Linked DNA regions of Cricetulus griseus. Each later gene encodes a partner of the first gene's protein in a complex. Links are inferred from orthologs where the notes say so. Each region holds a gene or a part of one and is shown on either strand. Other genes may lie near its edges.

The links.
Region 2: the proteins of Tomm5 (region 1) and Vdac2 are in contact, whole or in part, in a cryo-EM structure (PDB 9EII), measured with the Homo sapiens proteins. The link is inferred for Cricetulus griseus from reciprocal best matches to the Homo sapiens genes TOMM5 and VDAC2. Residues at the interface, in NP_001001790.1 of Homo sapiens: Ile25, Arg29, Leu32, Ile33, Ala36, Arg39, Val40, Phe43, Ile44, Lys47; in NP_001171752.1 of Homo sapiens: Val38, Thr60, Gly63, Asp239, Tyr258, Gln260, Thr261, Leu262, Leu268, Leu270, Val286, Leu288.

What each region holds. Positions count from the first base shown.
Region 1 is NC_048595.1:98,338,246-98,354,071, forward strand, and holds Tomm5 (mitochondrial import receptor subunit TOM5 homolog), read left to right. Parts: upstream 1-7,050; 5' UTR 7,051-7,138; coding exon 7,139-7,259; intron 7,260-9,330; coding exon 9,331-9,365; 3' UTR 9,366-9,794; downstream 9,795-15,826.
Region 2 is NW_023276807.1:199,141,084-199,156,835, reverse strand, and holds the start of Vdac2 (voltage-dependent anion-selective channel protein 2), read left to right. Parts: upstream 1-5,286; 5' UTR 5,287-5,440; intron 5,441-5,624; 5' UTR 5,625-5,649; coding exon 5,650-5,683; intron 5,684-6,664; coding exon 6,665-6,733; intron 6,734-7,725; coding exon 7,726-7,775; intron 7,776-11,148; coding exon 11,149-11,301; intron 11,302-11,398; coding exon 11,399-11,451; intron 11,452-11,842; coding exon 11,843-12,070; intron 12,071-13,919; coding exon 13,920-14,070; intron 14,071-15,752. UniProt on the Homo sapiens protein: Non-selective voltage-gated ion channel that mediates the transport of anions and cations through the mitochondrion outer membrane and plasma membrane.

The DNA.
Region 1 (15,826 bases):
AATTTAAAGACTGTAGTTTAAATTTTCATCATTTTATTTTTATGTGTATAGGTATTTTGCCTGCACCACAAGCATGCAGTGTGTATATACATATATGCATACATATATGTATACATATCTTAACCACTGAGTCAGCTCTCCAGCCCCAATAATACTGTTTTTAATGTGTATGTGTATATGTGTGGTATATGTATGTATGTATGTACATATACATACATGTGTACTTATGTATACATACATGCCTGAGAAGTTGTGGAGATCAAATGTCAGCACTGAGTGTCTTATTGCTCTCTTTTGTTCTTACATTTGTTTTTTAATTTTCAGAGAACAGCTTGTAGGAATTCTTGCTTCCACCATGTGGATCCTGGATATAGAACCCAGGTCACTAGGCCATCCTGCTGGCCCTCTCCACCTTATTTTTTAAGACTTTCAGAAAGACTGAGTAGCCAACAAGCCCCAGGAATCCTCCCTCTTCTCTGCCTCCCAGTGCTGGGGTTCCAGACTTGTGTTACCACACCCATCTTTTATATGGGTGCTGGGGGTCTGAACTCAGGCCTCCATGCTTCAAGGTAAGTACTGTACTCATTGAGGCCTCTCCCCAGCCCTAGGAGTCATTCTTGACTCCTGCAGGTGACTAGCTTTTCCATCAACAGATATCTAGATAAAGGAAATGTGGAATACACACACACACACACACACACACACACACACACACACACACACACACTGTTGTTCACGATAAAGAAGAAGGTGTCTCTTAAGAGAATGAATGGAAACAAAGACCACCTGGTTGAGTAAGATAAGACAGACTCAGAAAGACAAATGTGAAACTTCTCTCTAAAGATACATACATATGACATGAAAGTAGAAAATGGACTATTTTATTTGGGCAAAGGGAGCTAGTTTGACTGTGGGCACAGGAGAGAGCAATGGGGGAAAGTACTGTAATAGTAAATAATATATTTAAATGAAAGTGTCATTATGAAACCCATTTCTTTGTATGATGAATATGCACTAATAGGGCTTATTTTTTAATTAAAAAATATGTTAGACAGATCTCTGTGAGTTCAAAGCCAGTCTGGTCTACTTAGTAAGTTCCAGGCCAGCTAGAACTGTATAGTGAGACCCTGTATCAAACAAGCAATGAAAAAATGGACTATCATATGGCTCAGTGGGTACGAACACTTGCTGCCAAGACTAATGGCATGCATTTGGTCCCCAGGACCCTCAAATTTGGCATCAAAAGCACTCACCCACTGGGCCATCTCACTGGGCCCCTATTTTCCTTAGCCATACAAAACCAAGTTTACCAAAGCTGCAAGAAATAAGTCCTTATATAGAAATATAATAAATACAATTTGGAATAAATTTCTTTTGGGAATTATTTCCTTTCAGCCTAATGCATACATGGTCATTCATTCATTCATTCATTCACTCAATGGATAGTGAGTTTTTATTACATACAGACATTGAGAATCTCCGCTGTCTCACTCCCCCATTCTAAACTCTGCCCGGATGTTCAGCTGGGCAGCTGGCCACACTCCTCCCATTCCAGGCCCTATCCCTCAGAAAAGTCCACCAATGGTCAGCTCCTCCCTTGAAGCTGCTCAAGACCATGCCTACAGGGTATTTAAGACCTGGTCGATAGACCTGCTATTTGCTCTCTCTCCTGCCTTCCCAAGAGTCACCTGGGAGTTGCTTTGCTCTGCTTGCTCTGTTTATTGAATCTCATCTTATTAATTCTGTTTGATTTGGCTTATTGCATTAGCAGAGGATGCCCAATAACCAGGGATTCAATACTTATCAATAAACACATGCCCTCAATGGTCAGAGGATTTGAGAATGACCAAATACACTCCTTACACTTGAGGTGCTTCCAGGCTTCTTGGAAGGGGATTATATGCTTATAAATCATTCAGATGATGAAGGCCTCACTACAAAAACAAGAGCAGAATGTTCTAAAGAGGACACCAGTGAGGTGAAGTTTATTAAAACTCTCTTCATTCTTTGAGGTTTCAAAGGGCCCCTTCCTGGAGGTGTGCATCTCTCACTAGGCAGTAATTTCTGGAAATATGATGCCTTATCTATTGGGTAAGGGTATGAGCATCTATCACAGAGCAATCTTCTGGTTGCTGTTGTTTGATACAGGGTCTCATTACACAGCCCCAGCTGGCCTAGAACCCACTCTGTAGACACTGCTGTCAGATCTGTCTGCCCCTGCCTCCTGAGGCGCACCATCACACCTGAGCAGAGAAATCTCCTTAAACATCCTTTATTACATTTGTTTGTTTGTTTATTGTTGAAGGCACTAGTATAGAGGTCTTTTCATCATGTGGGACCCGGGTCATCAGGCTTGGCAGCAAACACCTTTACCTGCTGAGCCATCTTGCTGACCACACACAGCACTCTTTGAAAGTCCAGATCTCTCTTCCTTGTCCTGAAATCTGTGGCATTCGTTTTGAATCCTGAGTGGACTTCAAAGTCAAGATTACTTTTATTATTTTGATTTTCTTTGGTATGGGGGGGTCTCATGTAGCCCAGGATAGCCTTAAATTTGTTGTGTAGTAGAGGATGAACTTGAACTCTTAATCTTCCTCCTTCCAGCTTCTAATACTAGGAGTAAAGGAATGTCCCCACCACACCCGGGAAATGTCCAGGGAGTGCTAGGATGCACTCCTCCCCTGAGGAATGAGGAAGGACAGAAATGTAGTCCAGAATAACTCAGTCCAGATCAGCTGCCATCATGGGTGTGGGAATGTGGAAAGTGCTACCCTCAGCCTGCTGTGGGGTAAACCTTGCTCTCCAAAGATGTCCTTATCTCTTGGGGGAGAACTGTCAATGAAAGTACTCATTCTAGCAGGATCTGATGGGAGGAAATGCAAAACTAGAGGTCAGAGACCCACCTAGGTCTCTCTTTCCTTAACTAGCCCCTCTTTGGGACACAGTTTCCCTGTGTGTTAAATAGAGAAGTTGAACTGTTTAGTACCCTAAGTCTATAGTTTTCTATAGATCACAAAGCACGGGCTCACTGAGATTTTATATTGTGTTAATTCCTCAATCAAGAATCATCAGTGACTCTCTGGCCATGCACATATAAATTCCTCCCCAGTGATGGAAATATAAAACACTTAATTCTCTTACAGTTTGGTTGTACACTCCAAACATTTACATGAGAGCTGTCTGGGAAATTGAGTCAAAGGAAATGGTTCCTAAATCCCTCCTGGGATCTAAATGGAAAACAAGACAGGCTATGACATCAGCTGCTATTTCCTCTGTGATCAAACTAAAGAACACAAATATCAATATTAAATTATGTATGCATACTTCTTTATTTTTGCGCTTCAGTGCACATCACAGTAAATCCTTTGCTCTTAGCGTTTGGCTCATTATATAGAAAGAACAGGAAACATGGTGAGCTTGGAAATACAGCATTTTAGAGTTAGAAGAGACTTCAAAGATGTGACTCAAAGCATTCGGCATCCAGATGAGGGAAAAATAATGAAGAATCGAAGATGTGAAATGACGCCATCTAATACTGACCTCTGGAGGCATCATATTTTTATTTTGCCTCACCTAAACCCACTGTGATTGGATGACGTCATCACCTATATGCTTAATAGATATAGATTTAGATACAGATATACATAAATAAGCACTATTTAAAAGCCTAAAAGGGGGAGCTTATTTTTACGGGTGTTCTCCAAGACAATTAGAGAGGCCATGCAAAGAGGAAAGTCCAAGTTCACCAGGATGGGCATCCTTGACACAGAAACAATCCCCTTAGACCTGATCCAGACTAGTAAACTGGGCTGCACAAGCCCATTAATACCGCTCGGTCACTCCAGGCACCAGACCTTCCTAAGGAATCTTCATATGAATTACACTGCCCTGGGGCTGAAGAGGTGCCTCATACGTCAACAGCATTTGCTGCTTTTGCAGAGGACCCAAGTTCAACTCCTAGCACACACAAGGAGGCCCACAACCATCTGTAACTGCAGTTCCTAAAGGTTCAACACCTTCTTCTGACCTCCTTGGGCACCAGGCACACACAGGATGCACAGACATCCATGCAGGCAAAACACTCATAAAATAAAAGTAAATAAATCTAAGGCAGGTGGATCTCTATAAGTTCAAGGCCAGCCTGGTCTACAGAGTGAGTTCAAAGACAACAAGGGTTGTTAACACAGAGAAACCCTGTCTTGAAAAAAAAGAGAAAGAAAGAAAGGAAGGAAGGAAGGAAGGAAAGAAGGAAAGAAGGAAGGAAGGAAGGAAGAAAGAAAGAAAGAAAGGAAGGAAGGAAGGAAGGAAGGAAGGAAGGAAGGAAGGAAGAAAGGAAGAAAAGAATTACATTGCCTTTTAGCAGGCCAGACATTTGCTACATGGACATAAACAGGTGCCTCTTTAATTTAACAATTCAAGTGTCTAAAAATCTACAATTTTTTTCAATAAGGATAGTTTTTGGCTAATTTAATCTGTTCTGTGACCCCAAACTACTCAAAAGATCTCAGTATAAGAAAAACAAAGTATTTCCACATCTAAGTGCAGTCTAAGCTACTAGAACTATGTAATTATTTCCTTCCAAATATGTTTTGCCCCACTTTTCAGATAGATGGGATAAGCTTATTGATTTTTGTTTGTTTGGTTTGGTTTTTTGTTTTTAGAGACAAGAGTTTCTCTGTGTAGCTCTGGCTGTCCTGGAACTGGCTCTGTAGACCAGGCTGGTCTCGAACTCAGAGATCCACCTGTCTCTGCCTTCTACATGCTGAGATTAAAGGTGTGAGCCACCACGTGTGGCAAGATCTGCTTGTTGTAACATTCTTTCCTACTTAGGAGAATATACAAACTGGCAATTTTATTATCTGTTTTAGTTTGGTTTTATTGATGTGGTAAATCCCATAACCAAAAGTAACTTGGGAAAGAAATACCTTATTTCAGCTTACAGCTGTACTCCATCACAAAGGGAAGCCAGGGTGGGAATTCAAGGCAGGAACCTGGAGGCAGGGACTGAAACAGATGGCATGGAAGAATGCTGCTTGCTGGCTCGTTCAGCTGGCTTTTTAATACAACCTAAGATCAATTGTACTGCTCATAGTGGGCTGGGCCCTCCCACATCAATCATTAATCAAGAAAATGTCCCCATAGGCTTGCCCACAGGCCAATCTGATGGAGACATTTTCTCATTTGAAGTTCCATCTTCCCAGATGACCCAAGCTGGTGTCAACCTGACAAAAATCTAGTCAGCACACTATCTGACCACAAGTGATGATATTTCAACATTCATACACTTCAAACTCAGTGATGCAATCAGAATTCAAAATGCAGATTGTCAGAACTGGAGGGAACTTTAGGGAATCATATGCCTTCCCTTTGCTACAAAAAAAGTGAGGTTGCAGCCAGAGACTTGTCCCTGATTATGTAGGCAATGGGAGGCCTTGTGGAGCATGATCTCTCCTCCTTCTGAGGCACTCTCTCAGGAGGGCTTGGCTGGAGCTCTTCCTTGGGAATCAGCCCCTCCCACACCAGAGCTGCTTCTGCTAGTCCACTGTATGAATTATAGATGCAAATGTTCACTAAGGCTTGAATAAGCAGATGAAGGGTTTTTTTCTCCCTAACCCCAGGATCTTACATGCTGTCAATCAGGAAGGTAGATAGTTATGCTAACACTATCAATTGCTCTTATAGTAAATGATTGTTCTTATTTAACCCCAAATTCATTGTTGCTATGCAGTGCGCCCTCAAGAAAAGCCAATGTGGCACTGAATTATGTGAAAAATTAAGCTGTCTGATTTCATGTCTGAGAACTCAACGGTGCACTTGGTTTCCTCTCATCTGTACAATGTTAATCAGATCGAATTGGGCTCACACTTGTGGTATTCCAAGGTCTGCATCAGAATATGTAAGGGTCAGCTAACTCCAAAAAGGAGGATACAGAAACGATTTGGGAAACGTTAAAACCTCAGTCTCTGGAGTTCTAGACATCAGTAGGTATGAAATGCACTAGCTGAGGATGGTGACCTTGAACTGTTTGTTTGTGGGGGTTGTTGTTTGTTTATATTGGAGTTGTTTGTTTTTTGAGACAGCCTATCTAGCACAGATTGTCCTTGTAATGACTTTGTAGCTCAAGCTGGCTGCAAATTTGCAGTGACTCTGCCTCCTGTGGGCTGAGATTAAAGGGTGCAGGTGTGAGCCACCTTCCCACTTTGACCTTGAACTCTTGATCCTCATTCTGCCAGCCGTGTGCTGGTTAGGTTTGGTCACCCTGACACAAACTAGAGTCACCTGGGAAGAGAAAACCTCAATTAAGGAATGGCTTCCACCAGATAGATGGGCTTGTTGGTAGATTTGAGGGGCATCGTCATGGCTACTAATTGACGGAGGAGGGCTTAGCCCACTGTGGGCGATGCCACCCCGCACGTGGTCCTGAGTTGTTTAAGAAAGGAAGCTGCTCCAAGAGGAGCGCCCCTCCTTGGTCTCAGCTTCTAGGTTCCGGCTTGAATTCCTGCTTTGGCTTCCCTGGATGATTTACTGTAACAGGTTAGGTGAAATAAACCCTTTCCTCCCCAAGTTGCTTTGATGGTGTTTATTACTACAGAAAACAAACAGCCATCACACCAGGCTTATACGGTGTTAGGGCTCGAACACAGGGCTTCATGCATGCTAAAGTAAACGCTTTGGCAAATGAGCTATATTCGCAACTAAGTTTTTTTCAGGCTGGTGCGTTTTGATTTTCAAATCTAGGAAATGAAGGTTATGATGTGCAATTCGCGCAGTACTTTGTCGGGTACTCTATAAATGCTAGCTAGCTATTATTACTTATGGTGGTACATATGCACACACCTCTCTATTGGACAGCATAAAACAACTTTACAGGTAGCACTCTGGGTTCCAGCCCCGCGGTCGACTATCTAAGAAACAATCGGGATCCACTAAGGTTTGCGATTTGAGACTTAGGCCGCCCCCTTCAGGTCTCTCTGCTTCCTATGCACGAGGGCTGGATGAGGTTTGACCCTTGCAGGTTCCCGTCACTCGACGGAAACGAGGGTGGGACAGGAAGTAGAGTCTGCCTGAGTTCGGGTGGAAGGCGGCCACTGGAGGAGAGCAGGGTGCAGCGCCTGCAGGCTTTGGAGAGAGAGCCGCAATGTTCCGGATCGAGGGTCTCGCGCCGAAGCTGGATCCCGAGGAGATGAAACGGAAGATGCGCGAGGATGTGATCTCCTCCATTCGGAACTTCCTCATCTACGTGGCCCTGCTGCGAGTCAGTGAGTGTCCTTCGCGCTGTGGCCATGAGGCCACGGGTCCACCCCACCCCTGCACGCGGTCGTGGGGCCTGGAGTTGAGCATTCTAGGGAGAACCGGGGCATGCTTGCCCAGGGCGGCCCAACTGCGTGCCCTCTAGGGGGTCTGCGGGTCCTAAGAACGTGCCAAGTGCACGTGGTGGCTGGGGGCGCGTGGTTAAGTCACCTTTGCTCACTCGACGCTTGTGATTAGGACCTTCAGGTGTTATCCCGTGAACAATACCCTCGTTTGACCAACCTAGAAACGGCCCCTGGGAAGTGGCTGACCCAAGGTCATTTGGAGATTCAGAATAAGCCTGACCTAGAATTCCGAGCTCTTAACTCGGCACCAGGCACTTTCCTTCAGTGCTTGCCTTTGAAATCCGAAGAGATTTACTTTCTTTGTGTTTATTTGTACAGAGGCTGAAGTAAAATAGTTGGTTTTCCTTTTTCTGAAAGATGAAAAGAGGCGTCTGTAGACAAAAAGTTAATTTCCTTACTTGATCTTTGTTCCTTTTGCAAGTGACAGCTTGAGTTCAAGGGGGCACACCAGGGTTAAAGACAGACTAACAAATTAGAAAATAGATGGTTAACTGGGTTAAGGCATGTGCCGCCAAGTTGGATCCACATTTGGTGGCAGAAGAGAACCAAGTGATTGTACTCTGACCTCCACCATCTGCACCAAAGTATGCACGAATTCGTGTACACACCACAGAATACATACAAAATAAATAGCAAAGTATATTTGGGGGGGGGGCGGTTCAGACAGGGTTCCTCCCTGTAGGCCAGGCTGGCCTTGAACTCACAGAGATCGGTCTGCCTCTGCCTCCTGAGTGCTGCGATTAAAAGCGTGTGCCACGACTGCCTCAAATATTTTTTTAAACAATTAGTTCTCTAATGATAGAACAGAATTGACTGACCCTCACGCTCTCAATACAACATCCTTCTCATTGTTCTGTGCTTGTTTGCATATAGTTGTCTGCTGTGCAGGTAGAGGCAGGAGTGGTTCAAGTAATTGAGAAACATACCAACATTTTTAGAGTTAACCTCTCCTGGATTTCACTGAGGTGGAGGTCTCATTCATTCAGTGCTGTGTTCTCTCTGTGTTGCTGGCCTCTCCAGGAGAGGGCCTCTTGGAGATCAGAACACTGGCATATGTTCATCTGGCAGCCTCTTGACACTACTTCACCTTTTCCATCCTCTTAACCTTTTCTTACAGAAGAGCTGCCAAGAGAATATTAGCTTAGTGATCTTTGTATCTGATGTGCACCAATTTATCACTCTTCAAAGATTTTTGTCCGCTCGTCTTGTAAGTGAGCTACATGCCTGCATCCATCTGCATAATTCAGAAGGGGATGTCGGAACTCCTGGAACTAGAGTTAAACAGGCAAATTGTAGCTTCCAAATGTGGATGCTGGGACCTGAATCCAGGTCCTCCTGATTGATGACAGGCTTAGCTGCTGGGCTGTCTCTCCGTTCTAGTAATGTCACTTAGTATTCCAGACAGCTCTTTGTGTATCATTTATCAAACCAGCACAGTAACTAGTATGTTCTGAAGGGCATAAGTGACAGGTAGAATCTGAGAAAACCCTGTGCTTTCTTCCAGTTGTTTGTTTGCCCAGTATTGAGAATTGAACCCAATATCCATTTGTTTCCTGTAGACTGTTGTTCTGTTTAGGTTAAAATAACTCCCCGGAGCTAGAGGTATACCTTGGTAAAGTGCTTGTCTGGCCTGTGGAAGGTCCTGGGTTCAGCTCCCTGCACTGCAAAGCAAGTCAAAGGTCCCCACAGTAAACTGTTGGGGTTACTTATAGCCATGGAAGAAAGATGCAGTATGGTGTACTTTATGGTGGTGAATTGAGTGGCACTGGAATGGGCTGCTTTGCCAGGCAGTGAATATTTTTGGTTTGTGGTACTGGTAGAGGCTCAATCACTATTTGGGAGTTGTTGCTAAAACCATATTTCATAAAGGTTTTTTCTTTTACACACAGTTTTATAATTCTGCAGTATAGCCTGCGGACTCAGAATAAAACCTAATTTGGGGTTTTTCTTTCAGCGCCATATATCTTAAAGAAGTTGGACAGCATATGAAGATTGGGATCACATGGATGCATGGCATGAAGAACCTGGTGACAGTTTCTCCTCCTGTCTGCAGATGAATTGGCCCAGAAAGGTGTAAGACTGATTAAATGGACATAAAAACTCTACTTGTTAAGAACAAGTTGGGCCTTGGGAACTGACCTTCATAGCTGAAATATAAAACTGTTTGGGAAGTGCAGAAAGATGTCTTGTGGTCTGGTGTGCCCTTGGGCCTGTGAGAGCCACCTCTGTGAGTGTTGATGGAAATGTCAAACTCTAAGGGGCTTATTTCTGAAATGGTACTGTCTTGGCAGTCATTTCTGTTTACAACTTCTGTATTTTCGAAGAGTCTGTTTGATGGAAGTCAGCATACACCCACAATGACATTTAAGCACAGAACCACCAGTCTATATTTTTAATAAACATTCTGATGAAAAAAGCTTGGGTTTTCGTTTTTTATTTTGTCCCGCTTTTTGCTGGTGATGCCTGCAACCCTGCCACTATTGCTTCTGCTTCTTTTGAACTCTATGTGGCAGTATGCTTCTTTGCCAAAGTCTTAATGGACTGCAGTTTACTGCGTGATGCTAAAAATACAAGCTCCATGAACAGTGGGAAAAATGTATTTTTTTAAAAAGGTTTTATTTATTTATTTATTTATTTATTATGTATGCAACATTCTGCTTCCATGGATATCTGTACATCAGAAGAGGGCACCAGATCTCATAACAGATGGTTGTGAGCCACCATGTGGTTGCTGGGAATTGAACTCAGGACCTCTGGAAGAGCAGTCGGTGCTCTTAACCTTTGAGCCATCTCTTCAGCCCATGCCCGCCTTTTTAACATGTGTTTTTTTAAGATTGTTTTTATTTTGTGTATATGTGTCTGCCTGCATGTATGTATGTGTACCATGTGTGTTCCTGGTGCCCATGGAGACCAGAAGAGGACATTGGGTTCCCTAGAACTTGAGTTACAGGTGGTTATGAACTGCCGTGCTGGAGCTGGGCCTTCTGCAAGATCAGGAACACTTTTTTTTTTTTTTTTTTTTTAAAGATTTTATTTATTTATTGTGTATACAACATTGTGCTTCCATGTATATCTGCACACCAGAAGAGGGCACCAGATCTCATAACAGATGGTTGTGAGCCACCATGTGGTTGCTGGGAATTGAACTCAGGACCTCTGGAAGAGCAGTCGGTGCTCTTAACCTGTGAGCCATCTCTTCAGCTCCACCAGTGTGTCTCCTGGTAACAAGATGCTGCTGCTGCTGCCATAATTTCTGTTTTAGTTATTGTCCACTTGCTGCTGGGTGTATTGCCAGGACTTGGGTTTCTTTTCATTCTTCATACCCATCATACATGTTTGTCACCACATCTCCCTGTGTGCAACCTAGTGTGATTTTGGTTAGACTGATGGTTTTCTTTTCCTACACATTTTTTTTTTCTTTTAACCCCTAGTTTTCCTGTGAGCTTTCCACCAAAGGAACCTTTCATTCACCATGTACCAAAAACAGTTGACATCATATTGGTTTGATCAAGTATCACATCCTCTCCTCTTCCCTAGGGAGTCTTCCTAGAGACTTTGCTTCTCTGTGTATGGCTGTAACTTGGGGACAACCTTTTCTTATCCCGTATTGGGTCTCTTGTTTGCTAATGTTTGCTTTCGTGGAGCTCTGACTGGTGACATAGAAGGTAAACATTTTTAGGCCTTTCTGACCTGATAGTTGCTTTTTTCTAGTCTCACTTTTGATTCTTTGCTGAATGTAGAGTTCTGGCTGTGGGTTTGAGTCTGCTAAGAAATCTGAAACCATTCTGACTCCTGGTCTTTCTTTGAGGCCTAATTTTTCTCTCTGAGAAAACAAGGATCTGTTGTCCTACTAGTCTATTCCATAGTGACACACTCTAGTATGTGTATTTAATTCACTGTGTTAAAACTTGAAACATACCATCCATTAGTTCCCATAAGTTTTGTGGTTTGTTTGTTTTTTGTTTTGTTTTGTTTTATTGAGACAGGGTTTCTCTGTAGCCCTGGCTGTCCTGGAACTCACTATGTAGACAAGGCTGGTCTCAAACTCAGATCTGCCTGCCCCTGCCTCCCCAGTGCTAGGATTAGATCTTTGCACTGTCCTAACCCCAGAAATTTTGTGGGTTTTTTTTTTTTTTTGTTTGTTTTTTTTTTTTTTTTTTGGTGGTGGTGGTTTCTTTCCCTTTATTTTACATCTTCTCTTTGTAGAATAACATACAACCTTTGTGGGGTTTTTTGTTTGTTTGTTTGTTTCCAAGACAGGGTTTCTCTGTGGCTTTGGAGGTTGTCCTGAAACTTGTAGACCAGGCTGGTCTGGAACTCACAGAGATCCCCCTGCCTCTGCCTCCTGAGTGCTGGGATTAAAGGCGTGTGCCACCACCGCCTGGCTAACCTTTGTAACTTTTCTTTGTTCTTCATAGTCTGTTGTCTAAAGTGGCTTTTGTCTGTTTTTCATGTTAGACACTTCGCCTTTGCTAGAGACTAAGTGGGTGGGGCTTGATGGCCTTAGGCTCTTCCTAAGGGAGATCTTTTGGGTATTTAATAGGCAAGAAAGTCTGTGTTGATACCTTTAGGTATTTTATATTAAGCTGTTCATTCCTAAGAGAACATTCTTCCGACTTGTATGTGAAGAATGAAGGCCTTGCTAGGATTCTGGAAGTCCAGTGATGTGGGAGGGCTTCAGTGAGGCCCAGGGCAGAGGGTTGCTAAGCCCTGTAGAGTGTAGACCACATCTGAGAACCTTCCCTGGCTAGTTCTTAGTTTTGGTAACTACCATTTCCCCGAGACTGTACTATGGAACTTTTTTTTTTTTTGCTTTCCAGTTTACAATTGTTGTCTCATCCTCTATCCTTTGAGATTCTAACCGTAAACTGGATAAAAACTTACTGTTATGGAATGAAATTTCAGGCAAGAATGGACATATTACGTTATGCATGTGGTCAGCCCACCATCTTTACCCAGACAGCATATATGTCGGTATTGTATGTAGTAACTTCCATCCACTCCTTAGTTGCAAGCCTGCAGTTTTTGACACCATGCTTGTGAACACTGCCCCAAAGAGAAGTAGATTTGACTTTGGGTCCTGGCCCCAGGGCTTGAGATGCACATCTTTCCATAGCTGAACCTCTGAATTCATTTTCAATTGTGGAATTAGGGTAGTAGAATGCTGGTCAGGGGGAATAATTGGCACTATTACTTGGCACTTGGTAACAATAATTATTGATGGTTAGTCTAATTTCATTTGCTTTTTCGGATATGATGAGGTAGCATGCTGATCCTGATGTAGTCAGACTTTGGAATTATCAGACACTAAGTAGGCTAGTGTGGTGGCATCCACCTATAATCCCAGCTAGAAGGATTTTAGTTTGAGGCCAACTAGGCTACTTGAAAACAAACAACAAAAATCATTTAAATACATTACCAAACATTTACTACCAAAAAATAACCTTGACCAGTCAGTATCTTTTAACAAATGGAGGAGTTTAGGATCAAGTTTCAGTGTGGTATTTAAACAGCTTGCCAAGTCTTAGGGGACTTTTAATGTTTGTGTGCTTTTCCTAAAGATAAAGTGTGGTTGCCACTGGGGATTCTAGGGTATATTCAGGCTGAAATAAGAAAATGTGATGTGGCCAGGCGGTGGTGGCACACACCTTTAATCCCAGCACTTGGGAGGCAGAGGTAGGTGGATCTCTAAGACTTCAAGGCCAGTCTTGTCTACAGAGCAGGTTCCAGGATAGCCAAGGAAACCCTGTCTTGAAAAAGAAAACAAAATGTGATGGTTCAGTTTTTTAGTAAGTGGCTTATTAAGAAACAACCTTGCTGCTACATGGTCCTGAAGTACCTTGACTTTGAGTTCTGCTACCTCTGTCTTCCAAGTGCTGGGGTTACAATTCTGTGCCCAGCCTGTTAGTAGTTTTTTTTTAATTCTGGCTATACTGGTAGTGTTCAGTGCTTGGAACAGACAGTTCTGAAATAATTTTAATTTATTAGAAAATATTTAGGGGCTGGATCGATAGCTCAGTGGTTAAAAGCATTGACTGCTCTTACAGGAGACCCAGGCTCAATTCTCAGCCCCACATGGTGGGTCCCAACCTTCTGTAACTGTTGTTCTGGGAGTCACATTCTAATGACATCTCTGGGCACAAGGCATACATGTGATGCACAGACAGACATACAGACAAAACACTCGTAAGCATAAAATGAGTAATTTTTTTTTTTTTTTTTTTTTTTTTTTTTTGGTTTTTCGAGACAGAGTTTCTCTGTTGCTTTGGAGCCTGTCCTGGAACTCGCTTTGTAGACCAGTCTGGCTTCGAACTCATAGAGATCCGCCTGCCTCTGCCTACCCAGTGCTGGGGTTAAAGGTGCACACCACCAGCAATAAGTAATTTTTTTAAAGAAAATATTTAGACTGCACATAATTGGAGTATGTAAACAGTCTTAGCAGATTTGCTTTTTTGTAAACTTGAAATTGAGAACATTGAGGGAAATGGGGAACAGAAATGTTAATTCCTTCTAATTAATAAGGGGACAGGGCTTCTGCAGCTAAATTAATGCTTTTAATTGCTAACAGTACAACATTAAGAAAACACTTTCTTCGCCCTTTGCAGTTACTGTTGGAACAGCAATAGCTTTGCAACTGGTATATTCAGTAGTTCTTAGGTTGGCAAACATGAGCCAACATTTAGAGTGAAAGACAGGTGCAGAAATCTGAACTATTTGTTTGCTTGATTCCAAGGGGGGGGGGGACCAGCTGACATTTGACTTTTTTTGCCCTGTCATGATTGCTTCATAAATTCTGCATACAGCTCAAGCCATCACAGAAATCACACATCAGGACTGGCTAGCTTTGGTATTTCAGACCTTCGGGTCTACACGGCTCTCCTGTGCCAAGCCAGCAATTGTGACATGAAAGCAGTCAGACTGTTCAGATGAGGGCGCATGGCTGTGTCCCAGTCACACTTCACAGAAACAGATAGCTGGCACCCGACTATAAAGTAAAAAGCATGTCACTAAATCACAGAGCTGTGACACTAAAGAGAGGCTATCTAGGAGTTGGGGGAAATGATTAATGGATGAAGACACTTGTTGCCCAGTCTGACAGCCTGAGTTCAATCCCTGGAACTGTATGATGGGAGGAGAGAACTGACTCCCACAGTTGTCCTCTGACCACCACACATGTACACAAACATACATACAAATACACAAAGCTACGAATAAATGTAATTAATGTTAAAAGCATTTTATTTTAATTATGTGTTTGTATGGGCATGTGCACATAAGTGCAGTGCCCCTGAAGGCCACAGGTGATGGATCCCTCCGCAGCTGTAGTTTTAGACAGCTGTGAACTACCTAATGTGGGTGCTGGTAACTAAACTCAGGTCCCCTGGAAGAAAAGTATACACTCTGAACTACTGAGCTATCCATCCAGCCCCAAATCTAAAGCATTTTTACAAGATGAGCTGTTTACTCTCTTGGTGGTATGTCAGATATATGGTATTGAGAGGTAATAAGCCATGTGCCAGAATGAAGATGAATATAAATAGGTTAATTTAAGTTATAAGAGCTAGTTGGGAATAAACCTAAGCTAAGGCCAAGCTTTTATAATTAATAAGAAGTCTTGGCCAGGCGGTGGTGGTATACACCTTTGATCCCAGCACTGGGGAGGCAGAGGCAGGTGGATCTCTTGAGTTCAAGACCAGCGTGGTCTACAAGAGCTAGTTCCAGGACAGCCTCCAAAGCCTCTGAGAAACTCTGTCTTGAGAAAAAAAAAGTCTCCATGTCATTATTTCGGGGCTGGTGTTCCAAAGAAAGACCTGGTGCGGATGATAAAGATGGTGAAGCAAGGTTTTGGAACTGTGGTAGATAAGAATAGAAACACAAAATTATCACTTTTATAGGCTCCTTCCAACTTCCACATGAAAATAACAGCAGATTTTATTTTATATGCATTTAGTTGTTTTTTTTGAGACTGGTCTTATGTATCCTAGGTTGGTCTCAAACCCTCTCTATAACCAAGGACAATGCTCTTGAACTTCAGATGCCCCTGTTTCTTGTACCTCTTAAGGGCTAGGATTACTGGCATATGCTACTATACCTTGATTTTGCAGTGCAAGGGTTAGAACCCAGGACTTCACAAATCCTAAGCAAGCACTTTACAAACTGAGCTACAGCCCCAGTCGTTGTATATTTTAAACACTCATGTTTCTTTGTTGATAAGGAACTCTATTGCAAATGTACCTTTTCTGTGACCTACATAGCAAATCTGATCACATCCTATGAATAGTAAACAGGCATCAGAAGCCATATACCTGCAAATCAAAGAATACATACTCAGGGAGTTGGAAGGGTGATTATATCCTGGTACACTGGATGGTAAGCTCCGTGTGAGAGGAGAGGTTCAAGTCTAATAAAACAGCACCTGTACCGTTACATAAGTTTCAGACGTCATGTGC
Region 2 (15,752 bases), on another chromosome or scaffold:
TAAAAACTTGAGCTTGGGGCCCTAGAGAGATTGCTCAGTGGTTTTGTTTTCAGTTTTTTTTTTTTTTTTTCATTTCCTTTTGGAGGCAGGGCCTCACTCTGTAGCTGTCCTGGAACTCACTCTGTAGACCAGGCTAGCCTCAAACTGCCTACCTCTGCCTCCCAAGTGCTGGGACTAAAGGCACAGGTTATTAGCACCAGGCCAAGATGGCACAGTGGTTAAGAACACTTGTGTTGCTGGGCAGTGGTGGTGTAAGCCCACTCTGTCTTGGGGGGAAAAAAAAGAACACTTGTTGTTCTTGAAGGAAGAAGACTGGGTTCAGTTCCCAGCACCCACAGGTGTAACTCCAGTTCCAGGGGCTCTGATGACCTCTTCGGGCCTCTGTGGGCACCAGATAGTCACATGGTACACATTCAGGCAAAACACTCATATATATCAAAAATACAAAGTAAAATTTGTTAAAAATAGCAAATTAAGCTGGGCAGTGGTGGCACAGGCCTTTAATCCCAGCACTGGGGAGGCAGAGGCAGGTGGATCTGTGAATTTAAGGCTAGCCTGGTCTACAGAGTGAGTTCCAGGACAGTCAGAGCTGCAAAGAGAAACCCTGTATGGAAAAACAAAACAAAAGAACAAGAATAAATAGCAAATTTAAACAATAATAACGTTGCCAGTGTTCCAGGTTTCTGACTAGATGTGAATAACAAAGTCTTCTCTCATTGGGCTTCGTGCCAACCCAGAGTAGCAGAGTTGGAAGCAGCTATGTGAAGCTTGCATGTTATGCCCTGTTAAGATGTAAGTCCACCGACTGCCCTAATTATCACCAACTAGATTAAGCTAGAGAGGGCCCAACTCTGTTGTGATCTGGAAAATTGAAGAACGCTGTCTTTCCCTAATTTACTTCTGGGATGTTAATGTCTAGATCAGTGTTTTTCATGATGCAGTGTGGCTATAAATGGCACCCCGAGAAACCCACGCACACTGTTCTTCATGCACAGTAGGAATGGTTATCACATGTACTGGCTTAACCTTGGAGACCAGTTAATTCCAGGGTATCCTTCACAGGGGGCTGTGGGTGCTAACTTCCCCAAAGATACCCAAATACCAGTCCATGGGTACATTTCTGCTCTTCCTGGCTTTCTACCCTGTCTGTGCACTCACTCTCTTTCTTAGTTTGAACTACTCTGGGCTCCCTGCTACCCCATCACATTGTGCTCTCTAAAACCCCCAGGGTGGCTGTAAAGAAACTCCCCGAGTCTTCTGTGGCTCCACTGAATGCTTTCCTTCTCTTTCCTGGAAAGGTTACCCAGTCTCTCATTCTGCCACACCCAGCTTGGCTGTTGCTTTCCTCACACACAGTCATACAAGATTGAGGTCTATGGCTGGTCAGTGGTGGCACACACCTTTAATCCCAGCCCTCGGGAGGCAAAGGCAGTCGGATCTCAGTGGGTTTGAGGCCAGCCTGGTCTACAGAGCAAGTTCCAGGACAGCCTTCAAAGCTACAGAGAAGCCCTGTCTCGAAAAACCAAAAACCAAAAACCAAACAACAAAAAAAGATTGAGGTTTATGCCATCAGATAGACTTGTTTTCTTTTTGTATGCGGTGCTGGGGGCTAAACCCCAGATCTTACACACACCAGGCAATACCTTTCCACTGGACCATATCCCAAGTCTTATTATCCTTTATGACTCATTTGCAATCACTCCGTTTTAGTCACAGAGGACTTTGGAGCCTGATTCAGAGTTGTCCTCTCCACTATCTATCCTACAACACCCAAGTGACTCCAGCATCTTTGCCAACAAAATGTGCTAGTCCTACTGTTGTGTGGGATGTGACAGTGCAGCCCACACCAATGTCCTTGCCTCAGTCAACCGGTGGACTTCACAGTGGATTCACAGTGAACCTTATGCCCTCTGGTTTTGTCCATGTCCTTCTCTTTCTTTCCCTTTATCCCTTCCTTTCTCTAAGTCTATAACACCATGGGACAATTGGCAAAACTGCTACCCATGTGGAACAAGCTGAAGAGGAGTGGCAAAGCCTCCCTTGGGAGGTATGAATGTTTATGAAAGGTTGACCAGTGTGAAAACTAGCAACTGCACCCTCCTCTTCCCAGATGTCTATAGCTTGAGACCACTGTCTACAGACACCTCCTGCCAAGACTGGCTAATCCCTGCCCCTATGCTGTGCCTAATAACCACGCTGAGATTACAGGTTTGCAGTGGTAGCAATTAGGGAAACCCACCTGGTCCCAGCTTCACTGTACATGTGTTCTTTCTTTATTCCTTCACTGCCCCTAGCCAGAGTTCTTGGACCAAAGCTGCAATGGACATGGCAGATATACATACTTTTTGCATGTGGGTGCATGTACAAATGTGTACACATGCATGTTTCTTCATGGATGGTTCTCTAATTTACTGAACCAGAGTCTCTTGCTAAATCCAGAGCTTGCCAATTTAATCTAGTTTAACTAGCTATCTTGTCCCAGGGATCCCATGTCTGCCTCCTGAGTGATGGGGTTATAGGTGAACTGCCCATCTTTTATGTGGTTCTAGAGATCCGAAGCCTTGATACTAACATTTACACAGCAAGGACTTTATTCAGCCATTTTCCCAGTTCAAGACCTCCATGCAAGTGGGGCCTGGTGGTACGGCCTATAATTTCAGCTCCTTGGGAGGCTGAAGCAGGAAGACGGCAAGCTCAAGGATTGCCTTGGCAACTTAGTGAGAGACCTGGTTTTGTAGGGTTAAAAAAGGGGTGGTAGAGGGCTGGTCTAAACATTAGTTCAATTCCCAGCAATATACTGACAAAACCAAGCCCTTCCTTCTTAGAAAGGTTCTGTCTCCATAGTTAGGGGAGGGGGCACCCGGACAGGCATTTTGGGATACCTACTCATTCTGTTAGATTATACTCTATTTGATCATGTATATTTCTTTTTTTCTTTCTTTCTTTTTTCTTTTTTTTTTTTTTTTCCTGAGACAGGGTTTTTCTGTGGCTTTGGAGGCTGTCCTGGAACTACCTCTTGTGGACCAGGCTAGTCTCGAACTGACAGAGATCCGCACGCCTCTGCCTCCCGAGTGCTGGGACTAAAGGTGTGCGACACCACCGCCTGGCTTGTTCATGTATATTTTTATATGCCTATCCATGCTTCATTCAACCTTAGCGTAAAAATCAATAATCTAAAAAAAAAATCAATAATATATCTTGGGTGTTTGAGTTCTTAAGTTTGGTGGATTGTGTATCATATAAATCCATGATAAATGAGTTATATATTTTTCTTGCTAACCTGCCTTTTATATAGGAGTGTCAGCTGTGTCTTTAATATTGGGAAGGAATCAACTTCTTTTCCACCCCTGCAATTTTTTGCTCAGGCACATGTCTATCTCCAGTGACCATTAAGCACTGCCCACACACTGTACATTTACAGAGTAAAGCCTCAGACTTGTGTCAGAGAAAATGATGTCTTTGGAGATCAAAAATGGCTACATGTTAATTCATAATATGAGTAAGTCCTGCTTTTGGTATGCAAAGGTATCAAACAGCGAGGGCAGGATATCTCCTATTGGCCAGGTCCATTGCAGACCAGCCTGCCTGAGCTTGAATGAAGGGATGAATCAGGTGTTAGAGCCTGATCTCTTAGACACAAAGACTCTTCACATTTAACTCTTTACAACACAGCCTCAGCCATGACCAGGCAAGATTGCTAGTAAACTTGGTTCTGGATTGGCAAAGGCCATCTAGCCATCTTTTCCCAGTTAGGAGGAGAATGAAAACTTGAGTAGAGGAAGAGTTCAGAGATAATTGGGTTGTGAGCATGTACGTGTATGGAGTCTTTGTTGTCAGTCCAACTGAATGCCTATTAAACACTGTTAGAGATGGCTCAGTGGTTAAGAGCCGTGGCTGCTCTTCAAGAGGACCCAGGTTCTATTCCCAGCACCCACATGGCAGCTCACACCTGTCTCTAACTCCAGTTCCAGGGGATCTGGTATCCTTATACCAATGCACATAAAGTTAAATAAGGTATTTAAAAAAAACCAACACTGTTAAACATTACCTTAGAGATGAGGAAACTGAGGTTCACGGCCTAAATTACCTGAGTTTTATTGAATTGAAGCCTCAGTGGTGTCCATTTCTAATCTTCTTTATAGGTGGTGTATGTTTGTGTACAGGTATTCACTCTTATGCCTGAGACCAGAGGATTTTGGATAGTCTCTATTGCTCTTCACCTTACTCCCTTGAGCCAGAATCTGTTACTGAACTTAGAGCATACTGTTTGCTGGCCAGGTGGGCAAAGAACCCCAGCGACCCTCTTGTTGCTCTTTCTGGGGCTACTATTGGCTTTTAATGTGGGGACTGGGTATTGGAACTCAGGTCCTCCTGCTTGCCCAGCAAGAGTTCTTACCCACTGAGCCCTCTCCGAAGGCCCTGTTTCTATCTCTATTAGCTTGAGCATTTCTTCTTTTTTTCCCCCTATTTGCCTCGTGCTGTAGCTTAGCCTCAAACTGGAGGCAATCTCCTGTGCTTCCCATGAACCAGGGCTGGCAGCTTCCTCATTCTTCTTACACAGAATTTGAGAACAGCATTCTAATGACTGGTCAACACGAACCCTACAGTTCTTCCCGTATCTTTCTGGGCCTCTCAACCAGGGAAAGCTTATCTCCCTACTGGAGCATGGCTTCTGCACGAGTGTGAAGCCATCCACATGAGTGGGAAGGAGGCTTTAGGAGCACAAGCCCGAGGCTCTCAGAGTAGAGCCCACTGAAGGTGGCTCAAGTTTGTTCCTCTGGGAGCCCAGCCCCACCTCAGGATGACATCGCAGCGGGCGGTGAACCGATGTAAGAAGGGGATGGAGGCTGCAGATGGCGCAGCGAACCTCACTTCTACTTGCACCTCCCGGGCTCTTAAGCCGCTGTGGAGGCAGTGACTGCCCGCACGTTCCCTTGCTGGGTCACTCAGCACGCAGGCGGAGGGGTGCACGTGACCCCGCGGGCCGCATCGCCCCGCCCGTCGTGACGCGCGTGGCCTCTCCCTTCCTGGCCGCGCGGGTGCCGTTGCACCGCCTCCGCCGTTCCCCGGCCCTCGCTTCTGGGGCTGCCCCGTACACTGCCTGACCCGTGGCCCTCCAGCTCCTTCTCGCCCCGTCCCCACTGGACGGTCCGAGACAGCTCACCCCGGGGGATCACCGTGCCCTCGACCCGCGTGGCCACTCCGGAGTAGGTGCGAGTGGGTGGCGGGCGGCGCGGCAAGGACAGGCGCAGCGGACAGCCCGGGCGGCCGCGGCGGGGTCCTGGCTGGGGGAGGCCAGGCTTGCGGCGGGGCGCAACGGTGTCTCCTTCACTTCGCCCTCCAGCCGCGGTGGCTGCAGCGCAGTCTCTGGGTAGCGGAGCGGCCTCGGCTGGGAGCGGAGCGGCGGCGGCGGCGGCAACGCCCCTCAGGACACCCGCAGGTACTACGTCGCTGGCCTCATGCCGATCCCAGGGGCCTAGGCCGGGCCGGCAGCCACAGCGGACTCGGGGCGGCTCTGCTCCCCTAAGATGGCCGCAGCGGCCCCGGCCCCCTTTCCCTTCTGTCCGAGATCCCCCTTGGGCCCTTTGACCGTCCCCTGATCGCACTTCTTGTCCCTTCTACAGATCTCCTTTTCCCCGAGGCTTCGCTATGGCGGACTGTTGTGTACCGATATGCCCACGGCGTAAGTAGATCATTAGAAGTGTCTTCGGCGGGGCTGCTGTGCCCTTCTTTGGAAAACCATAGCTGGTCCCGCCTCGATTCACATGCTTGCAAGGACTTGGAAAGTTCTCTCCACTTTGTGCGGCCACTAAAGCGTACCGCCGCCTCTGCTGACCGACGTGGGTGCTGGGCTGTTGGGTTGCAGATCGGGGGCTCGCGCCTGGGGCGTTGGTCCTTGGCGGTACCCACCCTCTGCTTTTGGATGTGTCGTTTTACCAACCCGAAAGCAAAACAAAAACTACTAGTTGTTGAATTTCACCCTGGAGGATTAGATGGGCCACTTTGCAAGAGGAAGTAGTTCTCCCTCTGCCCGTAGAGATGGAGTGCACTACAAGGTCATTACACGTGTTCCTAAGGGCGTGGATGTGCTCTTTAGAATGAATGAGCTGCGGCCGGAGCTCAGATTCCTTGCCCTTAAGCCTCACTGCATTGGCGGAGTACTTGGGAGTCGTATTAGTGTGTTTAAAGTGCCATTTGATATTTAGTTGCTGTAGACACTTGACTGAAACATAGATGGTTGTATTTCTCTCCCCTATGTCTCAAGATGTCAGTTCCCAGAGTGTTAAGTGTTGGTTTTGTTCTTGGAAGATATACCAGGTGCTTTGCTAGGGAAAATGCCTAACATTAAATTTTGGTTTTTGTCTTAGTTAAATCAGTCAGTCCACTTGAATTCTGGCAAGTGTGTGTACACTTGTACTAGTGTTTCGAGCAAGGCTGTAGACTTTTAAGTTTAGGAATTAGATAGGCTTGCCCTACCCTATAAAACCAAACTGGGGAACTGTCGCAGGTTTATATTACCACATAGCTATTTAGAAAGTAAACTGTTGTTACAGATGGCTGTTAAGAGTAAAGTGGTATAGTTCTCATTGGTCTGCTTGAATGTAAATATTAGCAGTAGGTCATAGTCCAGTCATGTTAACTATAGAATGTTTCTTTTTACTAGCAATGTGTATCCCTCCATGCTATGCTGACCTTGGCAAAGCTGCCAGAGATATTTTCAACAAAGGATTTGGTAAGGACTTTTCTTTTAATTTTAGCTTAAAAGAGAAAATGTATGCTTGCATCCCTTTAGGACATTGACTTGCTTTTCCAGACTGAATATCCTGCTGGTTTAATGTTTCTGCCAGATGCATTTTATGTTAGACTGCTCCACTGTACCCCAGCTTTTGTTCAGGCCCAAGTTTATGAATTCTAACCTTTTAAGGGAAAAGCTTGTACTTTTGGGTTCTGGGTTTTTTGTTTTTGCTTTTTTTTTTTGTTTGTTTGTTTTTTCCAGATAGGGTTTCTCTATGTAACAGTCCTGACTGTCCTGGACCTCAATTTATAGACCAGGCTGGCCTCGAACTCACTGAGATCTGCCTCCCAAGTGCTGGGATTAAAGGTGTGCACTATCCTGCAAGAAGCTTGTACTTTTATTCTCTTTGGTGACTGAGCAGGCCTTGGTTGAGTAGAGCTGCCCTGAATTACTCTTTTAGTTTTGTGTCTGTGGCTCCTGGTGGAACTGAAACCTTAAGGGGTTGTGGGCTTTTTGAGTGAGTTTGAGTTTTCTTGAAGGTTGTGTTGCACATACCCCTTCTCCCACTCCTTTGGGATAAATGTCCTTAAGGTGTAGTCATCAACAATAGGCTATTCTGCGGAAGTGATTTTTTTTTTTCCTTCCCAGACAGGACTTTTTGGACCCTGTCCTGGAACTTGGCTCTGTAGACCAGGCTGGCCTCAAATTCACAGAGATCCACCTGTCTCTACCTCCCCTGTGCTGGGATTAAAGACATTGTCGATTTTTCTAGTCTCTAACATTTAAAAAGTGTCTTGGAAAGGGTGTGTCAGGAAGTGGAGCCAATTTCCTGCCAGCATGCTGGGCAGCTGACTGCTTTTAAGTGCCTTGCAGGTGCTAGGCATCGGTACATTTTTGTTCCTCTGGACATTTGAATTATTTTAAATGTAACATGAATAATGGGTATATATCTGCAGAATAGTCATGTCTTTGCTCTCTATTCTTTGAAGGCTTTGGGTTGGTAAAGCTGGATGTGAAAACAAAGTCATGCAGCGGTGTGGTAAGTGTCTAATAAGTTCTTGTAACTCTTTTAATTTTATTTTAAGATTTATTTATTTAATGTATAGAATGTTCTGTCTTCATGTATGCCTACAAGCCAGAAGAGGGCATTGGGTCTCATTATGGTTGTGAGCCACCATGTATTTGCTGGGGGTTTGAACCAGGGTCCTCTGGAAGAGTAGTCAATGCTCTTAACCTCTGAGCCATCTCTCCAGCCCCTAATTTCTTAGCCTATAAATGTCTATAGTTGTTTTGCCTTAAGGAGGCAGAAGTTAATTTGTTTTGAGTGATTTGCATGTAATCTGATTTATTAGCTTTGGATATTTCTGCTTTTCATGTAGTTTTGTTATATTTGTGTGTGTGTGTGTGTGTGTGTGTGTGTGTGTGTGTTACTATGATTGTACAAAGAAGTGGGGAAAGACATTGGTTATTTGGGACTATTTACTCAGGTAGATTACAAGCTTGAAGGCCAGAAGCTTATAATCCACGCCCTTGTAACTTTCTCCTAATACCTGCCAAGGTATTCTGGGCTTAATAGTAACTTGTTTATTTGACCATACTGGTCATTTAATATAATGGCTATATTCTAACAGTCATCCATGGAGATGTCTACATACCTCTGTCCTGACCTGAATATTGCTTATGCGTTTATCCTCCCCAGTTGTTGAAACAAGGGATAAAGTAAAATATTGTATGCTTTTTTTTCTTTCTCTAATAATTTTTGTTTTGAGATTCAGAGATGGTTGTATTGTGTACATGCTAAACTATGATTATTGGGCACTGTGATAAATGCATGTTCTGAATATAACTAGTATTAAAGTTGTTCCTGGTAGGGATTCTTAATGGTCAGACCTGTTGCATTTATGGGGTTTTATATTGTTCTGTCCTGTGGTTTCCTTGGTTTGCAAAGAAGCTAAATATTTGGTGATGGTTGACTTGGCTGGGTTAAGAGTTTACAGAATATTAGTTAGCTGATTGCTGGAGATTGAAACTAGAGCCTTGTAGTTCTACTACTAATCTCTATTTTCATCCTACCAGGTTTTAAATATGTTTGTGCAGGTGTGTTACATTAAAATAAGTACCCCATCCTTGTTTTTAAAAAGCTTACTTTTAGACTGGGAGTATAACTTAGTGGTAAAAGGCTTACCCAGTTGTGTATGAGGTCCAGTGCGGAAAACAAACAAAACACCCCCTTCTAGTTACAAAGACAAACTTTAAGCTGAGAACAATTGGAGAACTGTATTGAGCACTAGATTTATAGATTTATAAGCAAAACATCCTTTTTTTCCTCCTGCCTCCCTAGTGCTGGGATTAACAGTGTGCACCACTACCACCACCACCACCACCACCACCACCACCACCACCACCACCCAGTGGCCCTTTTCTTTCTTGAATTGCAGAGATGTTCAGGCTACCCCAAAATGTAGAAGAAGTTCATAGTGATGGAGTGAATTGCTTTATTGTTGGTTTCATCTGTTCCAGTTTGACCTACAGACTAATACTGACCTTGTTTCTTGGGTATTTGTTGGCATTCATTAGACTAGCCCTTGATCTCAGGGACTGATGGGTGGTAGTAGCTGGAGCTTGGCAGTTTCTGATTTTAACTCTGCAGGTATCATAACTTCTGATAAACTTAAAACAAAATTTACATCAATTTTAGACATGGCTTTCCAGTGACTAGGTATGGAGACACTGATACAGAAACCCTAGGTCAGAACTCTTGACAGGCTTCTGGAAGGTTACATTTTATCTTGGGACACGTCCCTCACATGCAGTGAGTGCTTCATAAAGACAGATCCTCTGTGCTCCCTTTTTACCACAAGGGATTGGCAGATATATTCTATACAAATCCATGATTAAAACTTTTCTTAAAGATTTATTTTTAATTAAAGATGTTTTTATTTCACATGTATGAGTGTTTGCCTGTATGTCTGTTTGCCTGGTGCCTGTGGTGTCAGTTTTCCTAGAACTGGAGTTATAGATGGTTATAACTTGCCATGTGGATGCTGGGAACCAAATTTGGGTCCTCTGTAAGAGCAGCAAGTGTGTTTACTCACTGGCTGCTTTTCCGGTTCAAGGCTAAGCTTTCTATAGTACTTCCGAATTAATTCTGTTTTTTTTTTTTTTTTTTTTTTTTCCTGCTGACACATAGTTTATATTATTTATGATAAAACCCAAGAAGCTCCCCTACTCCACTTTTTTTTCCTCTTTTTTTGAGACAGGGTTTCTCTGTAGCTTTGGAGGCTGTCCGGGAACTTGCTCAGTAGACCAGGCTGGCCTTGAACTCACAGAGATCCGCCTGTCTCTGCCTCCTGAGTGCTGGAATTAAAGGCATGCACCACCACTGCCAGGCTAAAAAACTTATTTTTATTTTATGTGTATGGTTGTTTTTTTGCCTGCATGCGTATCTGTACCATGTGTGTGCAGTACCCACAGAGGCCAGAAGAGGGTGGTGGATACTCTGAATTGGAGTTACAGACTGTTAGTTGCCTTGTGGGTGCTAGCAATCAAACCTGAGTCCTCTGCAAGAGGAACAGCTCCTCTTAACTACTGAGAGCCATCTCTCCTGTCCCACGAAAATACTGTGAGTTGGGTGAGGTGTGGCAACACACACCTTTAATCCCAGCACTAGGGAGGCAGAGGAAGGCAGATCAGGCCGGCCTGGTCTATAAAGGACAGCCAGGGCCACATAATTGAGACAGACAACAACAAACAGCAAAAAGAAGATAGGTAAGTTGTTTGGAAGGGCATGGAACCTAGTGAAGACTCATTTCAGAAAAGTAGAGGGAGGACTGGAGAGATAGATGGTTCAGCATAAGCGTGGGTGCCCCTCTTGTAGAGGCCCTTCCTAACCACCCACATGACGGCTCACAGCCACCTGTAACTTCAGCGGCAGGGAAGTCAGACGACTCTGGTCTTTAGGACATCTGCACTGAATATTCATTCACATACATATGCAAATGAAAAATTCTTTAAAAAGGAAAAAAGAAGGAATATTGGGATAGTTGAGCCCAGATTTTACTTAAAATTTTTCACATCTTGTGTGTGTCATGGTGTAGATGTGGAGGTGAGAGGACAGCTTGGAAGACTCAACTCCTCTTCCTACCATGTGGGCTTTAGAGACGGAAGTTAGGTTGTCAGGCTTGGTTAAACCCAGTGAGCCATCTCACCAGCCCCGTGCGCTTAATCTTTATTGATTAGTTAGAAATGTAAGATGGCATTCTAGTGAGGTCAGTCAGTCCGTCAGGCTAATTTGTCACTGTTGAGTTTGCTTAGGAAGTAGCACAGTGTGAAGTTAGAAGTGTCAAATAAGTTAGGCAGTGGATTGTTCCAGGCTTAGCAGACATTCATGAAGTTGTTTATTGTCTTCTTAGGAATTTTCAACATCTGGTTCATCTAATACGGACACTGGTAAAGTCAGTGGGACCTTGGAGACCAAATATAAATGGTGTGAGTATGGTCTGACTTTCACAGAAAAATGGAACACCGATAACACTCTGGGGACAGAGATTGCAATTGAAGATCAGGTAGTGTTTCATAGACTTGCTTTTGTGTCCTTTTTGCATTTCAAAAAGGAAATAAAATGGAACATAAATCTTATATGCTCTTTTTCTCCCAAAATAGATATGCCAAGGTTTGAAGCTGACGTTTGATACTACCTTTTCACCAAACACAGGGTAAGCACTTATGTTTTTACAGGCACTGAACCTGAAGCAGTCTTGTCTGCTCAGAAGAGAAGCAGCTTCCTCCCTTTCAGTAGTTCACTGCGGAGGCCACTATCTGCTTTTGAACACTGCTTGCCACCATTGACTTTCTTCAGAAATTGGCCTCTTCTAGTGCTAATTGTGTCCTATCTTTTGCGACTGTTAGTTTTACAAAGCACTTTTCCTATGATGGGACAGTCCTGTCACCCCATGTGGGTTTGTTTTCTTTAACTTTTTGGTTGTTTTTAACGCTAAAATTGTCATACTGTGGCTTGTTTAAATCCGTCTCATGCTCACCAGGTAGAGCTAGGTATATAAACTTTGTCACTGGTATCAGTTTCAAACCAGTCTCTCCTTTTTTCAGAAAGAAAAGTGGTAAAATCAAGTCTGCTTACAAGAGGGAGTGTATAAACCTTGGCTGTGATGTTGACTTTGATTTTGCTGGACCTGCCATCCATGGCTCAGCTGTCTTTGGTTACGAGGGCTGGCTTGCTGGGTACCAGATGACCTTTGACAGTGCCAAGTCAAAGCTGACTAGGAGTAACTTTGCAGTGGGCTACAGGACTGGGGACTTCCAACTACATACTAATGTGTAAGTATTTCTCTATAGGCTTTCAGGGTGGTATCTGATGTCATTTCTTAGATCTATTTTTAATTTAAAGGGTATCTGACATGTGGTAGTTCTAAGTGCTCCTCAGTAGCATATAGTGTAGACACTCGAGAGCATGCTCACATCAACAGGGGTTGAGGTGCTTTAGAAGAGAGAGAGGGGTTAGACCAGTGCTTTCTGTGTGTGACTTGATAACCAGGCATGTGTGGGGTCCTGGTTTAATAGGATTATCTTAGCATGTCCAGTCAGGTGGTGCATTTTACCTTTAATCCTAGCATTGGGAGGCAGAGGCGGCTGTATCTTTCTGAGATTGAGGCCATCTTAGTCTCCATAGTGAGTTCTAGGCTGGCCAGAACTAGATAGTGAAAGGCATTTTTTACCCAACTCAAATTAGGTTATATAGAAAAGGGCTTACCTATATTTCCATGACAAAACAGTATTTGGTAAATAACAAATACAAAAGAGAATTTCCCATAGTCCTACTAGCTAGACACATATATTGATTATCTGTTTGATAATGTTATGGCACATGTGGATTTAACTGTGGAAAACTGAATGTCACAGGGATTGAACTTAGGTCCTTGGGCTTGGTAGCAAGGGCCTTAAGACCCAATAAGCCATCTCTCTCTGGTCCTAGATTCAGAGAGAAAGAGAGAGAGAGAGAGAGAGAGAGAGAGAGAGAGAGAGAGAGAGAGAGAGAGAGAGAGAGTTTAAGTCTCCTTTAGCCCCATGTAACAAGTTTGTCTGTCCCATAGCCAGCTCTTAAATAATGTACAGAGACTCCTTATTAATTATGAAAGCTTGACCTCAGCTTAGGCTTGTTTCTAACTAGCTCTTATAACTTAAATTAACCCATTTCTATTAATCTACTTGCTGCTATGTGTTTCCTGGCATATATCTCTCTTGCATGTCCTCCTTCCTTCCTCTGCCTCTGGCTGGTGACTTTCCACTTTTTCTCAGAGCTCTCTCTGTCTGGAAGTCCCACCTATGCCTCCTGCCTAGCTGTTGGCTATTTAACTTTTTATTAAACCAATTACAGTGACATATCTTTACACAGTGTAATCTCACAACAGCCCTGCCTTGCTTAAAACTCACGACCTTGGTGTACAGTCTTTGTTTTGGTGTACACTTTCTGTGTGTGCATGTGTATGTGTGGTGCTGAAGGGAGTTGAATCCAGGGATTCATCCAGGACAGGCAGCGTTCTCATTGATCCTAACCCTCTGCTCAGTGTGTGTGTGTGTGTGTGTGTGTGTGTGTGTGTGTGTGTGTGTGTGTGTGTGTGTGTGTGACACACCTTAATCCCAGCGTTCAGGACACAAACAGAAGGATCTCTGAGTTTGAAGCCAGCCTGGTCTAGTCTACATAGTGAGTTTCAGGATAGCCAGGAATACATAGACTCTGTCTTTAACGACATGAGGCTGGGCTGGAGAGATGGCTCAGCAGTTAAGAGCACTGGCTGAGAGGACCTGGGTTTGATTCCCAGAACCCACATGGCAACTCACAATTGTCTGTAACTCCAGACAAAGGGATCTGATACCCTTACACAGGCATATATGCAGGCAGAACACCAATGTACATAAAATAAAAGTAAATCATTAAAAACATGAGGCTGAGGCAGAAGGATTGCCATGAATTTGAGTCTCAGCCAAGCCATTGCAAGTTTTCAGTAGAACTTTGCTCTTGTATACCAGGTAAGCATTCTTCCACTATTCTACCTGCTCAGTTCTGGTAGTGGCTTATATTAATTAACATGTAATGCTACAGTATTACCCTGTGCCTTAGAAGTGGTTACATTGTCTATTCTAGATTCTAATTCAAAATATCTTATAGCAATAATGGGACAGAATTTGGAGGATCAATTTATCAGAAAGTATGTGAAGATTTTGACACTTCAGTAAACCTTGCTTGGACATCAGGTACCAACTGCACTCGTTTTGGCATTGCAGCTAAATACCAGTTGGATCCTACAGCTTCCATTTCTGTGAGTATTTCTTCAGCTTAGAATGGAGTTTCTAGTTGTGGGGAATTAACTTATTCTTTGGTATATTGGATGGTGTGGAAAGCTTGCTGTGATTCACACAGTCCATGTTTATACATGTACTGGGATTAGAATTGGAATGCTGCTTTTTATATGGAAATTGTGATAGACGTCTGACTTTCAAATTAGATCACTGGTGGTTTGAGAATGGCCCCCGTATGCTAATATATTTTAATGTTTGGTCTCCACTTGGTGGGACAATTAGGAAGTATGGCCTTGTTGGAGGAGGTGCATTACTTGACAGGTTTTGAGGTTCAGAAGCCCAGTCATTCCCAGGTAGCTCTCTCTGCCTTATCCTTGTGGTTCAGATGTAAGCTCAGCACCATGCCCACCAGCCTATTGCCATGCTTCGTGGACTCACCCTCTGAAACTAGGAGCCCCAGATTAAATGCTCTCTTTTATAAGTCACTTTGTTCATGGTGTCTCTTCCCAGCAGTAGAAAAGTGACTAAGACAATCACAGATTCACTTCACTTTGAGAGCTGCTGAATCAGGATTGCTAATATCCCTGGTTCCCCAAGACTGCCTAAGGTCCAGGTAATCTGTGTTTGGAGTCCTGGGCAGTTTGTACTTGTGTTGGGGAATAATAGTACTTTCTTTGATTTTTATGATTATGGTTTATGAAATATCTTCAGATTTGGCCTGAGAGGTCACTGGTCTAACCATTTTTACAGGTGAAGAGACTGGAGTTTGGCAAGAGAAATGACTTAATATTCTGTTTTTTGGGGGGCAGGATGGGGAGTAAAGCCAGCATTGGGCCCAGTGTCTTGATTTTTAATCCTGTCTAGGTGAGCAAAACATCTTACTTCTCCTATGACCTACTCCACTTTTCTAAGGGCAGCCACTATTGTCTGATTCTTGGCTCTTTCCCCTGTTTATGTCTTTAGTCATGGTGGCTTGAGGTAGAAGAGAGTGTGCTTTGAGGGACAGGGGATTAGCTTCCATTCCTGCAGATCAACAGCTGTTACTGTGTGTCAGGGACTGTCAGTACCATATGTACTGGGGGTGACAGGAAGTTAAACAGTCCAGGAGAGTTACTTCTGTTACATAGAGTACTCTTGATCCTCAAGGACAGTGTTTTGATACCTTAAATAGGTATGTTTATTCTCATCTTTGCGTTGTGATAGAACATTTATAATCAGACATAGTGTCAAGTGAAAAATACTCAGATTGCTTCTTCCTTTGACAAGTCAGTGACACAGTAATGACTCCCTGCTGTGTCTAACCACTAGTAAAGTACTCCGTGCAGCACACTGTTCTCTTCAGATGATGCTTGTGGCACCATAACAGATTGGATGTCAGTGGTGGAAACACCTTTCAGCTACTAGTCTCCATGGGAAGGTGACTTGGGACCTAGGTGTCAGTGAGTGACTGCTGCCAGTCATTGTGGAAACATGACAGCATGTCCCATCCAAGTGGAGCAGTAGTGCCCAGAAGTGTCAGCTTTATCTTGGTTGTATTTTGATGCTTACACATTATAAGAATAGAGTCAATGTTTCCAGATCTGTTGTGTTCACCCCAAGATGTTAGCTTTATACTGTAGCCCTTAGGGTACTGCAGAGCCAGTTGCCTGTCTAGGCTCTGGAGTTGAGGGTAAGTTGCAGGCATATCTGTTCTGTAGCTTGC